3 linked regions of the Drosophila melanogaster genome follow. The protein of the gene in region 2 interacts with the protein of the main gene of each other region in a pairwise test. Each region holds a gene or a part of one and is shown on either strand. Other genes may lie near its edges.

Region 1 (4,319 bases), on a different chromosome or scaffold from region 2:
GCAGCAGCAAGAGCTGGTCCACCAGTGTGCCATCTGCGAGGCGCGCTTTGCCAAGAAATTCCTGCTGACCATGCATCTTAAAGGACACAAGGGCACCGAGCGTCCCGAGGTGTGCGACACCTGCAGCAAGACGTGAGTGGCGCTAGACTGGTAGGCGAATGTACTAATGCGTTGCTCTCTTACTTTCATAGATTCCGCACCAAGTTTGAGCTAAGTGCCCATGTAAAGCGCATGCATGCGGCAGACTTTACGCCCATCATATGCGACATATGCGGTACACACTTCAGGAGCAAGGCCAACTTTCTCATCCACAAGAAGGCGTTGCATCCGGACGGGCCGGTGGCGGAGGTGCAGTGTACCCTGTGCGGCCGCTGGCTGCGGGACGAACGGAGCCTGCGCAAGCATCTGGCACGCCACGATGACCGCGACGGCGACACCAAGTACCGATGCCTGCTCTGCAATGCAGAGAAGTCATCCCGTGCCGCACTCAGCAGCCACATGCGGTACCATCACTCCGCCAAGCGGCACAAGTGCAGTCTCTGCGACAAGGAGTTCAAGCTGCCGCGGGCATTGGCCGTGAGTTGACCAGCGTATCAGATTCTGATCGTGCTAATCCCGGAACGTTTTCATTACAGGAGCACATGGCCACTCACACGGGCATCGATCTGTACCAATGCCAGTTTTGTACGCGCACCTTCAAGTCTCATGCCAACATGCACAACCACAAGAAGAAGATGCATCCCAACGACTGGGTGAGAAAGTACTCGCAGCCCAGCAGTAGCATTACCTCCACAGCGGCTCCACTTGCTCATCCCAATCATCCTAACCAGCCTGCTCCTCCAGCGGCAGCTCCGACTAATCTAGCCGGGCACATGCTGCCGCCACTCGGTGGCATTGCCAAGTCGCTGATTGAGATACCCGATACCGAGGGCTTCGATTTCGGCAGCAACAGCTCCGTGTGCCCCACGCCCGACTGAATCTGTGTGTTGTGTGTCTGTGTTTGGTGTCTGTCCCTGCGACTTTGTGTACACGTTCCCTGGTCGGGATTTATGTATAAAATCGTACAAATAAACTTTATTAATATACAAATCCAATGACGCTGAGTTAAAGTTAGGATTCGTCCTCTGGCTCATCGGGTTCCTCCTCAATTTCCGTGAGAATGGTGCGTATCTTCATAAGCAGCTCCTTTTTGACGGCATCCGGGACCAGGGTGCGTGCCTTGGGTGTTACCTCGGCGATCAGCTGCTCTACGGTGAAGCTGTTGTTGGTGCCCTTCTCCATCAGGATGTTGCGGCACATCAGACGCACCTCGTCCCGCCAGCCACATTCCGTAAGGCGGCTGCAGAGCAAATCCTTGATCTTGGAACGGTCGCCGGTTAGCACCGTGTACTGATCAACTGCGCCGGAAGTGCTCATCCTTGTGTCGCGTATCTAAGTCTTGCAAATTACCAAGTTTCCTTTTTCGAGTCCTTGTCGATTTCGCAGCGTCTGTTTTTTTGCTTTTCTTCGCTGCATCTATCTTTTTGAGCTGTGTTTTTGTTTTGTTGTGTTGTGATGTTGGTACAGTGGTCATGGCAAACAGTCTGGCTACTTTGTAGCTAGTTTTTAGATACGGACATTAATCAACTTTAAAGAAATGAAAATATATTACCAAATATATGTAAAGTTTTAAAAATTTTTAGTTTAAATTGGAATGTATGCACAATTCGTATGTTTTCGGTCATTTTCCTGGGTCACTTAAAATTTAAGCTGCTTTTAAGCGCCCACTCTGGCATCTCTGTCGCTCGAAGTTTATTCAGCCTGGCAGTCTGGCAACACCTCGGCGACGTCTTAAACTGAATTTGCGAGGCAATTAATTGAATTAATTGCTTTTCCTACAGCTGTAGTGCAATGATATGCCGCCTGTGCCTGGACGATGCTGAGCACAGTGTGCCAATCTTTGACCAGGATGACTCCGGCGATCAGCCAGTGCCCTCCAATCTAGCGGAGCTAATTGAGAAACACCTGCAGTTGGTGGTAAGCAGTGAATTCCGTTTGAACCACCAACATTTGTTAATGACCAGATTGCATCCTTGTTACCAGCTCCTGCCCAACGATGGGGTGTCCAAGAGCCTCTGCACCCAGTGCTGGCAGCAGTTGGCCGACTTCGAGCAGTTCTGCGCCATGGTGATGAAGAAACAATTGGGCCTGCAGCAACTGAAGATGGAGCCGTTCTCCGAGGACGAGGATGCGGACACTAAGGCGCAGATCCTGTGCGAACCGGAGATCGATGTGAGTCCCGCGGCCGCCGACAACGAAGAGTGCAACGAGATCGACGGCGATGCCAGCAGCAACAGCAGAAGCAGTAGCATTCGCACCACATCGCTACGAGAAATGCGCCTGCCGTCGCCCATTAGACGCCGTATGCGTCTACCCCGGGCAGTCACAGCACCCAAAACTCAGGCTGTCAAGGCCAAGGCCAGGACGAAGACCCACAAGGCCGAGGCGGACGAGGATGAGGATGCCGAAGGCGAGGGCGATCCAGAGAGCCGCAGCAGCAATAGCCGCGAAATGGACAGCTATATCGCTCTGCACGGTCGTTTGGAGTGCTGCATTTGCGGCGGCGACGAACAGTTTCCCAATTTCGCCGAGATGAAGCGGCACTTCCGGAATCATCACCAGTCCCTCGGTTATGTGGTCTGCTGCCAGCGGCGCTACAAGAAGCGTGCCCTCTACGTGGACCACCTGCACATGCACAACGATCCGAATTACTTTAGGTACTTGACCAGCCCAGGCAATTGATTGAATCCCCCTACTAATGAATGAACTGTGCAGGTGCAAGATCTGCTCCAAGCAACTGGTCAGCCGGATTAGCTACGATGTACACATGCTACGCTTCCATCCCAACAAGGACGACCTAAGCTTCGCGTGTGATCAGTGCTCAAAGCGGTTCTCCAAGCAGTTCCTTCTCACCATTCACTCCAGGGTGCACCAGCAGGAGCGCAATGAGCAGTGCAAGCACTGCGACAGATCGTAAGTGTAGGCAGCAAGTAGAAGAGCGAATTGATGAATTGCCTCTATCCGCCCACAGCTTTCGCACCGCCGTTGACCTGCGGCTGCATATGCGACGCACCCATGACCCCGCCTTCGTACCCTTCATCTGCGACTCGTGCGGTGCCAAGTTCAAGACGAAACAGAACCTGCTAGTGCACAAGCGGACTGTGCATCGCGAGGGCTCCCAGCTGCCCGAGGTACAGTGCCAGGAGTGCCAGGTGTGGCTGTCCGACGAGAACAGTTTGCGCAAGCACATGTACATGCATCTGGATGCCGCCTCGCTGCGTCAGTGGAAGTGCGAGCAGTGCGGCCTGGAGAAGGGTTCGCGGGCCAAGCTGGCGGCCCACATACGCTATCATCATCCGAAGGAATACCACAAGTGCACGCACTGCGCCAAGGAGTTCAAGAGCAGTCGCAGCCTCGAGGAGCACACAGCCACGCATACCGGCCAGGATTTGTACGAGTGCGCCTTCTGCGAGCGCACCTTCAAAAACTCGGGGAACATGCACAAGCACCGCCGCCAGATGCACGCCGCCCAGGTGGCCGCCCTGCAGCAGCAGAAGAAGGTGCCGCCCAGCAAGCGCAAGGACAAAGGTGACCTGCTGCTCGACGTCCTGGCCGCTGGAGGCAAGGATATGAGCCACGTCATGGGTGCGGGCGACATGAATGACTGATTGATTCTAAAAACCAAATAAACTAGATTGGAATGACACATAAAACACATTTAATTCGAAATAAGTTTGGGTATTATTAGCTTATAATATTCAAAAGTGTATTTTGCAATTGGAACGAATTTGGAATCCCGCTATTTTCGGATTCATGCAGTTCCCATTATATTTTATTCGGTATTGGAATCCCGCTATTTTCGCATTCATGCAGTTCCCACTATATTTTATTCGGTATTTTCGCAGTCATTAGTGTGGCCAAAACTCGAAAATATCAAGGGCTAGAGCAGCTAGATGTTGCGGCATTCGCGGCCTGGTCACACTAAGCTAGGGCTACTTTTTATATCATAAGTCGAGCGTTTAGGTAAGCGAAACAAAAAGAGCTTTAGTTAGAGGTATTAGTTTGGTTGCTATTATTTCTAAATTGAAAACTTCACTTCCTTTGATCCAAAAGACACTGAAAAGACACGTTTGCAGTTGAGTTCATTATTTTCTGGTATACATACACACTGATTACTCATTCAATTGGCATTTTGCTCTTGTTTTTCTCCGATTGCCTTGCACTCGCATAAATTTAACACAAAAAAGAAGTTCGGGGTGTTTAGAATCCATCCACTTGGT
Region 2 (3,981 bases):
GAAAATCGAGGCGTTCAAATCTTCATTTATCCCTCGCTTAGAAAAGAAAGAAACGCTCTGCAGAAGAAAGAATAGTAACTGAACCTGCCGCCTCGGCAATTGTTAACCGCCTACTTTTTTCGACTGCCTATACCTTTCTTTCTCTATCGCTCGATTGCCGTCTCTTTCGGGCACTTTTAACTTTGCCGACTTCTCTGAGTGCATCATTATCATCGGCAATTGGACTACTGCGTTAAAAGTGCGCTGCCTACTTTTTTCTTCCCAACTCCTCCATTGTTTTGTTCACTTATTTTTTATTTTTTGGTTTTGGGCAAAAAATAAAATATGAGAAGGGAGCAAATTAATAGACAGTCATTTGGAACATGTGTTGTTGCTGCTTTGATTGTTTTGTCAAGTTGTCTAAGATATCAAACGCACAGTGCCGCCGACAAGTATTCGCCCCCATCCATTCATTCATCCATCCATCCATCTGTAATAACCCACAGCGCTGACGTCTTCATTGTGTCTACTTGACTTTCGCCCGATTTATCTGCCTGTATATTTGTTCAATTGTTCTAACAAAACATGCCATAAAAACATAAAACACTATGGACACAAAAACCACTTGTACATTCGTGTTTTTGTAGCCGGGGTCCAGTCTCGGTCCATTGCCAACCCACTCGCAAACGAAAAGTCCGGACTTCAAAGTCCATTTCGGTAGCAAAGTAGAGTCGGCGAGACTTCGTTTGATCCCAAAGGATGTTTGTCCATGTGAGTTGCATGTGTCCTTGAGATCCACGGCACTGCAATCATCTCCTAATTTCCTAAAAGTGTCTTCAAGTATTAAAAAACCTTAGCCTACAAGTATTATCGCATTCTTTATCATAGAACAAATTGATATTCATTCAAATTTAAGCTATCTTAAAATCTTAAACACACACACACAAAATCACCAAAATATGACTTAACTTTCGTGCAACCAATTTTAAATTCCACTGCCAGCCAACACTGAGCACAAATATTTGCCAGAGTCCATGCTTATAATTTTCCAAATCTATTAATCTCCAAAAGGATTGCCAGAGATCCACATTGATTCTGGCGAAGCGCGCCCAGAACTAATTCGCAAATCTGTCGCGAAACTAGAACAAATCCCGGTGCTCGGAGGTTTAACCCCTTCGGATTACCTGAGTCCTGCGTTCTGCGTCCTGAGCTCCATTGAGCTGTTGAAAATCGTGCCGTAAGCCAAGGCAGGATCTGCCTCAGATAATCCCCGGACCACAAAAGCGACCCTTGAACTAGTTTGGGCGGGATTAGGAGCAACTCGAGGAGTCTGTGTCGCAGATCGCTAGTGCAGTGGTTCGCAGAATTCAATGTCATATGATAAGTGGATCAAAGCACCAATCCAATATTCTAGAACATTGTAAATATCTTTACTTATATCTATAAAAGCATATTTAATATCTTTGAGTTAATTATGACTGAAATTAGGTCATTGCCAGAACACTCTAATATCTGACAAAGTGTAAATGTCATCCCCATTGAAGTGATTAGAAATGGCCCAATTTGTAAATTACTCTCGGATCCCAATCAAAAATCATCGAACTCGAATTATAAACATCCTGATTAAATTGCAACTGCCCGAAATTGGTGTTTTTGTTTTTATTGCCGCTTGTTAGTGCAATTAATAGTCAAAACAGCGAGCGGAAGCGAGACGCACTGAGAGCAACCCCAAAATACCGACCCTGTTTGGATTGGATGTAATGGATATTTTGACGCCGAAGCAGCAAAAGACTGCAAATAAACATCCACAAGTTCCCAAACAACGTCTACAAACATATAGCCAACATATAGTTTCGTGTGGAAGGCGAGTGGAACAAAATGGTCACAAAATGGAGGGCGGAGTCTTGTGAAGAGGGTTTAACTGCCCAACTACCTGATGCCCATCCCTTTCGCACTCCCTGTGCGCATTAGCTACCCGTCTCTTTCGGCCTGTGGGCTCTCTTCGTGTAGACTTCGTTCGAGCGACCGGGGGTTGGACTATAAATAGCCCGATCCGGGGCTGTAGAGAATCAGCTTAGAGCTAGCATCTCAAGAGCAAACATCTCAAGCGATCCCAAGTCGTGTGTGAGAATCAGAAACCAAAGAAAACAAAAATCTAAAGATATCCGAATCAGAAAAATGGTGAAAAGTGAAATGGAATTCAAGAGCAACTTCTCCATCGATGCCATCTTGGCCAAGAAACCCATCAACACCGCAACTCAACCCATCAAAACCGAACCGGTGCATCATCATCATCAGTACGTTCATCCGTACTCCAATTCCGATGGCGAACTCTCGGCTTCGGAGGATTTCGACAGCCCCAGCAGGACCAGCACACCCATGAGCAGTGCCGCCGAGAGTCTATCGTCGCAAAACAATGACAAGCTCGACGTGGAGTTCGACGATGAGCTGGAGGATCAGCTGGACGAGGACCAGGAGAGCGAGGATGGCAATCCCAGCAAGAAACAGAAAATGACCGCCGGCAGCGATACCAAGAAACCGCCATACAGCTACAACGCCCTCATCATGATGGCCATCCAGGATAGTCCCGAGCAGCGGTTGACTTTGAATGGCATCTATCAGTATCTGATCAATAGATTCCCCTACTTCAAGGCCAACAAGCGGGGCTGGCAGAACTCCATTCGCCACAATCTGAGCCTGAACAAGTGCTTCACGAAGATTCCCCGCAGCTACGATGATCCCGGCAAGGGCAACTACTGGATCCTGGACCCCTCGGCCGAGGAGGTATTCATTGGCGAGACCACCGGCAAGCTGAGGCGCAAGAATCCCGGCGCCAGTCGCACTCGCCTGGCCGCCTATCGTCAGGCCATATTCTCGCCGATGATGGCTGCTTCACCATACGGAGCTCCAGCTTCCAGCTACGGATACCCGGCTGTTCCATTCGCCGCCGCTGCCGCCGCCGCCCTGTACCAGCGCATGAATCCCGCTGCCTATCAGGCTGCCTATCAGCAGATGCAGTACCAGCAGGCTCCTCAGGCCCACCATCATCAGGCGCCCCATCCCGCCCAGATGCAGGGCTATCCACAACAATTGAACGCCGAGTTGTTTCAGCGCATGCAGTTCTTTGGCAAGTTTCCATCCAGCTAAATCTTGGCAGTCGGCGCAGAACCAAGCCCAGCGCTTTGGATCGAAAAAAAAAACCCAGGGACAAAAGGGTCGCTTGGGGAAGAGCTAGGACTGGTAGGACTTCCTGCTCGCTTGCCCCGTGGAAAAACCCGTGACGTCTAAATGCTGCATTTAGCAAATTCCTTTGGTCATCATCGCATTGACCGCTTCGCTTCTTCAGCGGCTCCTCCGAATCGACTTGGAAAGTCGATGGTTAACGGCAATGAATGCGCAGCCAAATCTTCAGGACTGCTGAAGAAGGATTCCTGCCAGCCGAGAGCCCTTGTAGTTTGCTCACCAACTTTTGTACATATGTAATTAGGAAATATAAAAAAAAAGAAAAAAAAATAATAAACAAATTTAAAAAGAAAAATTTCAAACGGCTTTCTTATTTTTAAAACCATTTCAGAATATAACAATTTTTTGGATCGAGTTATCGACACTTGAAAAATATTCATCAGTGAATAAGACTTAATGGCACTTTTTCGTTATTATTTAACTGCCTTTCTCTGAGAACTCAGCAGCTTCTTTTTCCGTTGACCATCAGCTGCTGTCCAGCTCACAGTCACATCCCGTAAATATTTACCCAGCTTCCTCCAGCAACTTGCTTTCATCCTGATGACTTAATTAGTTGTTTGCTAGCCAGAGCGGCAAACATGAAAATGATTCCCGAAAAAGGCAGAAAAATGCCAGAGGATGAGGTTCAAAATGAGCCATCACCCATTGACTCGATTTTGTTTGGCTCTTTACATGCCCAGTGACAACTCCAGCTGTGCGAGATGTGCTGGGCACCGCAGGTACGATCCGTTTCGATCCGATCCGATATGATATCCCATA
Region 3 (3,886 bases), on a different chromosome or scaffold from region 2:
CATCGTTTCCCCCAGAGAAGCTGACAAATATATGTATTAGCTATTAATTTTAGGAACGACAAATTTGAAAGTAATGAAATAATGTTCGGAAGGAGTCCATCCGGTGCTGAGTAGCTTTGAATTTTTTTTAACCAGTATCGAAGATCTTAGGAAGATCCACCCGAAAAGGGTAAGTTAATATTGTAATTATAGGTACTATAACTGGGTGGGTACGGATTGTAAAATGATGGAAGTGAGTTCCCAGCGGAACGTCCATTATAGTTCATATACGTTGGATAGGACATCCCTACTGAGAAGTGGAGCCAAGGATTGGCCGAATTGGGTTGTCCTTGCATGGCATATTGCCGGTTGGCCTGGTATTGAATTGCGTACTGTGGGTTGGGCTGAGGTGGAATCACATATTGTGGTGCAACTTGACGCGGCTGCTGCATTTGAAACGGTGGGCGAGGTGGTGGATACCCGGGTGGCATTGAAGCTGGCATCCCCACAGGCTGATAAGGCATTTGTGGCGTTCGCCGGAAACGGTGCAAAACTGGCGAAGATATAGAAACGAAAAAAAAAGGTTGATAATAGATTCTATATTTATTATTTGCACATAACTAAAGCTCCTGGTCTTTTAGCCAGCTAATGTGAGGTAGATTAAATAGTTATTGGTTGATGAGGGATTGGCTGATCTAGACAGGGGGTATCCATATTGACCATATGAACTTGACCGCACACTGGGATAGCAGTTATAGTAGCATGGTGGAGTGGGAGGAACTAATTGTGGCCCATTGGCCGATCGCTGCTGCGTATAAGAAGGCAATCCTGCTCCCGAATTCGGATAACGGGGATAAGTACAGGAATATGGGTAGAGCGGACTGATGGTACAGGGAGGACTTTGTCCTCGATTTAGCCAAGGATTTGGCTGTTGAGGTTGCTGGGAACCATCTTGAACAATAACCAAAACATTAGCCTGCCGTTGGCCTGCATGGGTGGCAAATGTATCGGAGTTACTGAAATCGCTCAGCAGTTTAAAGTCACTGTTCCTATTATTCCGATTGCGACTCGTGGAAGTGCTGGGTATGATGATGCTGTTTCGGGTGTTGGCAGTGGTCTGTGTAGTGTCGATGATGAAATCGCTGGCCAGCTGATCTGAAACGGATCAGTTGAAAAGGACCAGATTTCAGTGTGAACCGATGAAAAAACAAAATTTTACGAACCTGATTGGCACTCCGGATAGGTTCCACATTGTTCTCCTTCTTGCTGATTTGGGTTTTCGCAGGGAACTCTGGATACAATGCATTTTTTACCAGATATACAGGCAATATCCTCACAACTAAGTCCAAATTCTGTATTGATAGTGGGGAATTTTTTAGATTTTATCCCTTATCCTGTTCGCTGACTTACTTCTGTATCCTTGGACAACAATCGTCGTGGCTAATATCAAATATATACCAACAAGTTCCATTTTCTCTTGTAAAATTCCGAAACTAACTAAATTCATTTCCCTAAATCCCTCATATTTATATCATTTTGATATTTCATGGTTGATGAGTTGCGGTAATGATTATTTGCAAAATTAAATCACCGAAATATGATGATTATTGTTCTGACTCTTTCTAACATAAATAAAAGTTCATTAAACAGCGCTAATTGAATATTTTTGTATGGCTGTTTAAATGCAGTACATTAAAACTTACACGATTAATAAGTTACTGCCTAAATATTTCAGCAGTAGGTTAGCCGAATAGAACTATCTATTAAACGGTCTCTGAACTACGCCTTGAACAGGGGTAAATAAACATTGCTTAACAAAATAACACACACTTTCAGCCTTGATAGATATTACTGATTAATTAAAACGAAGTTTAACCGCATTGTTGAATCCGCAACAATTCTAAGTGAATGATTACTCGACCAATATAAATCAATTTTGGTTTCTATCTGCTTCATTTACGGTTTTTGCCTTTTGTTTACCCCCTAAAAAGTCCATTATAATTATTAACCAAGCAGGCGTATACTTCATACGTTCTGCGACGATTGTGTTGCGATAAGATAAACAAAGGGAACCGCACAAGTAATACAAGGTATTTCCTTAGCTTCGATAAGAAAATGTGAAAGTCACTGCCATTGGGACTTCGATTCGGGCCAAGGGACTGCCTCTTGGGCTACTGGAACAGCAGAAAAAATTAAGGCTTTTGGAAACGTGCGGCACGTGAGCAAATAATCCAATGGCTGGGTAAATAAATAGCTCTACCCCGGCCATAAACGATAACGTCAAGCATTTGATAACCTTACTCTTATCAATATGTCCAACATGCAATAAACTCCAAAGAGAACAAAAGCTAAACGTGATTTCACTGTTTTATGGCCCATGAGAACTTAATTTAAACGTGCCTTTAAGCATTTTCCTAAGGGCTACCCTTCAATAAAAACCTGTTTTCTTTAAGATAGTCTTTTTATTGGTTTTAAATTAAGAAATTCGTTTTTTTTTTTGGAAATTGCACACCCACAAAATCTGATATTAAACACCCAGGACTCCATCGACAAACAGGTCTTGTAAAGGTAGGTCTTTCACCACTGCAGTAAAGTCCTCCACAGTACAGGCATATGAATAGCCCTTCTTTAGGTCCTCTTTGGTCCAACTGACCCAACTCAGTTGGGCGCCAATATCCTGGCAGATGATGTACTCCTCTTCGATTTGCTCAATGGTGGCATGTGGGTTGTTAACTCCAAGTAGCACGATGCCATTTCTGCTCTCGCGATCGATAATCACGCGGAAGTACAACTTTGGCACTGGAATCAGACCATTGTTGTTTTCATCAAAGTCCAAATAGAGCTCCCTTCCAATGCCATTTACATCCGGCAGGGTGGACACACCCCATGTGCCCGTATAGCAATCCACTGTGATGTTTTCATCCGCCACAAACTTTCTCACACTGTCCTCGATTCGTTCCCAGTTTCCGCCATTAAAGGTCTGCCACTGAGGTGCCGCATTCACAAAGAAGAAGCTCGCCTTTTGAGCGGCCCCAAAGACAAAGTCGGTCTTTGCAGAAAGGTGACCCCGAGCCAGATAGACATTACCAGTGGTGTTGAAGTATGGTGAGGCATCCATGCCCAAAATCTCGGAAACCGTGATATTCTGTTGAACTTGGGTGTACAAAGTGTTCACATCCTTGCCTCCGTAAAAGTCGCCGGGTATAAAGGATGGCCTGGATACAGATCGCTGATATTGGTCACTTCCGGGGTACAAAACATGATGCACATAGCGGGTGACTTCGCTCAGTTCATCGTGACACACGTCATAGGTCTGCAGGAAGTCGTCGCTCGAGGAGGATGACAGCTGAAAGCCCACTTCAAGCAGATCAGTACCACCATTGCAGGGACGACCAGAGCGACGAGCAGTGTATGTTGGCCAGGAAGTGCAGACAAAGTCCTGCAGCTGATACAAACTGCCCATTGCCAGGATGCTCTGCTGTTGCCAGCATGTTGAATTGACGAAGGTATAACCAGAGAAGGGTCCACTGAAAGAATTGATGCAGTGGAACTCAAGGGCTTCTCCATGTTTTAGCTGAACTACTCCTTCTTGATTCGGTTCCAAATATCTCGCATGACCCAATTCACTCCTGACTACAAATAAAGGAGCCGGATCCTTAAGATCACCGTTCACTTTAAAGCTGCACACTTCATTGTCCAAGATTTGATCAGTCAAACCAAGAATTCCTGTTGTTTGCAGTTGATCTGTGGGCAAATCCTTAACCACTTCGATGAAATCTTCTACAGAGCACGCATAGGAGTAGCCCTTCTGCAGGTTTGCTTTGTCCCAGTCCAACCAATCGATTTGCGCTCCCACATCCTCACAGATCACATAATCCTCGAGGGTCTCCGTCAATGTTATATGTGG

What was found.
Region 1: the proteins of slp1 (region 2) and CG11695 interact in a two-hybrid assay, tested with the Drosophila melanogaster proteins (one large-scale study listed by BioGRID).
Region 3: the proteins of slp1 (region 2) and CG43894 interact in a two-hybrid assay, tested with the Drosophila melanogaster proteins (one large-scale study listed by BioGRID).

The regions. Positions count from the first base shown.
Region 1 is NC_004354.4:11,575,063-11,579,381, forward strand, and holds CG11695 (uncharacterized protein), read left to right. Parts: upstream 1-1,820; 5' UTR 1,821-1,890; coding exon 1,891-2,016; intron 2,017-2,082; coding exon 2,083-2,756; coding exon of another isoform or gene 2,757-2,781; exon of another isoform or gene 2,782-2,814; coding exon 2,815-3,012; intron 3,013-3,070; coding exon 3,071-3,707; 3' UTR 3,708-3,744; downstream 3,745-4,319. Other genes in the region: CG11696 (uncharacterized protein), read left to right, coding at 1-132, 192-576, 636-977; e(y)2 (enhancer of yellow 2), read right to left, coding at 1,111-1,416.
Region 2 is NT_033779.5:3,823,627-3,827,607, forward strand, and holds slp1 (sloppy paired 1), read left to right. Parts: upstream 1-2,048; 5' UTR 2,049-2,157; coding exon 2,158-3,126; 3' UTR 3,127-3,473; downstream 3,474-3,981. UniProt on the Drosophila melanogaster protein: Transcription factor involved in segmentation. Required for the formation of the mandibular lobe. Different levels of slp activity seem to be required in different segments.
Region 3 is NT_037436.4:12,887,788-12,891,673, reverse strand, and holds CG43894 (uncharacterized protein), read right to left. Parts: upstream 1,905-3,886; 5' UTR 1,451-1,904; coding exon 1,390-1,450; intron 1,332-1,389; coding exon 1,203-1,331; intron 1,135-1,202; coding exon 617-1,134; 3' UTR 569-616; downstream 1-568. Other genes in the region: CG14120 (uncharacterized protein), read right to left, coding at 2,507-3,886.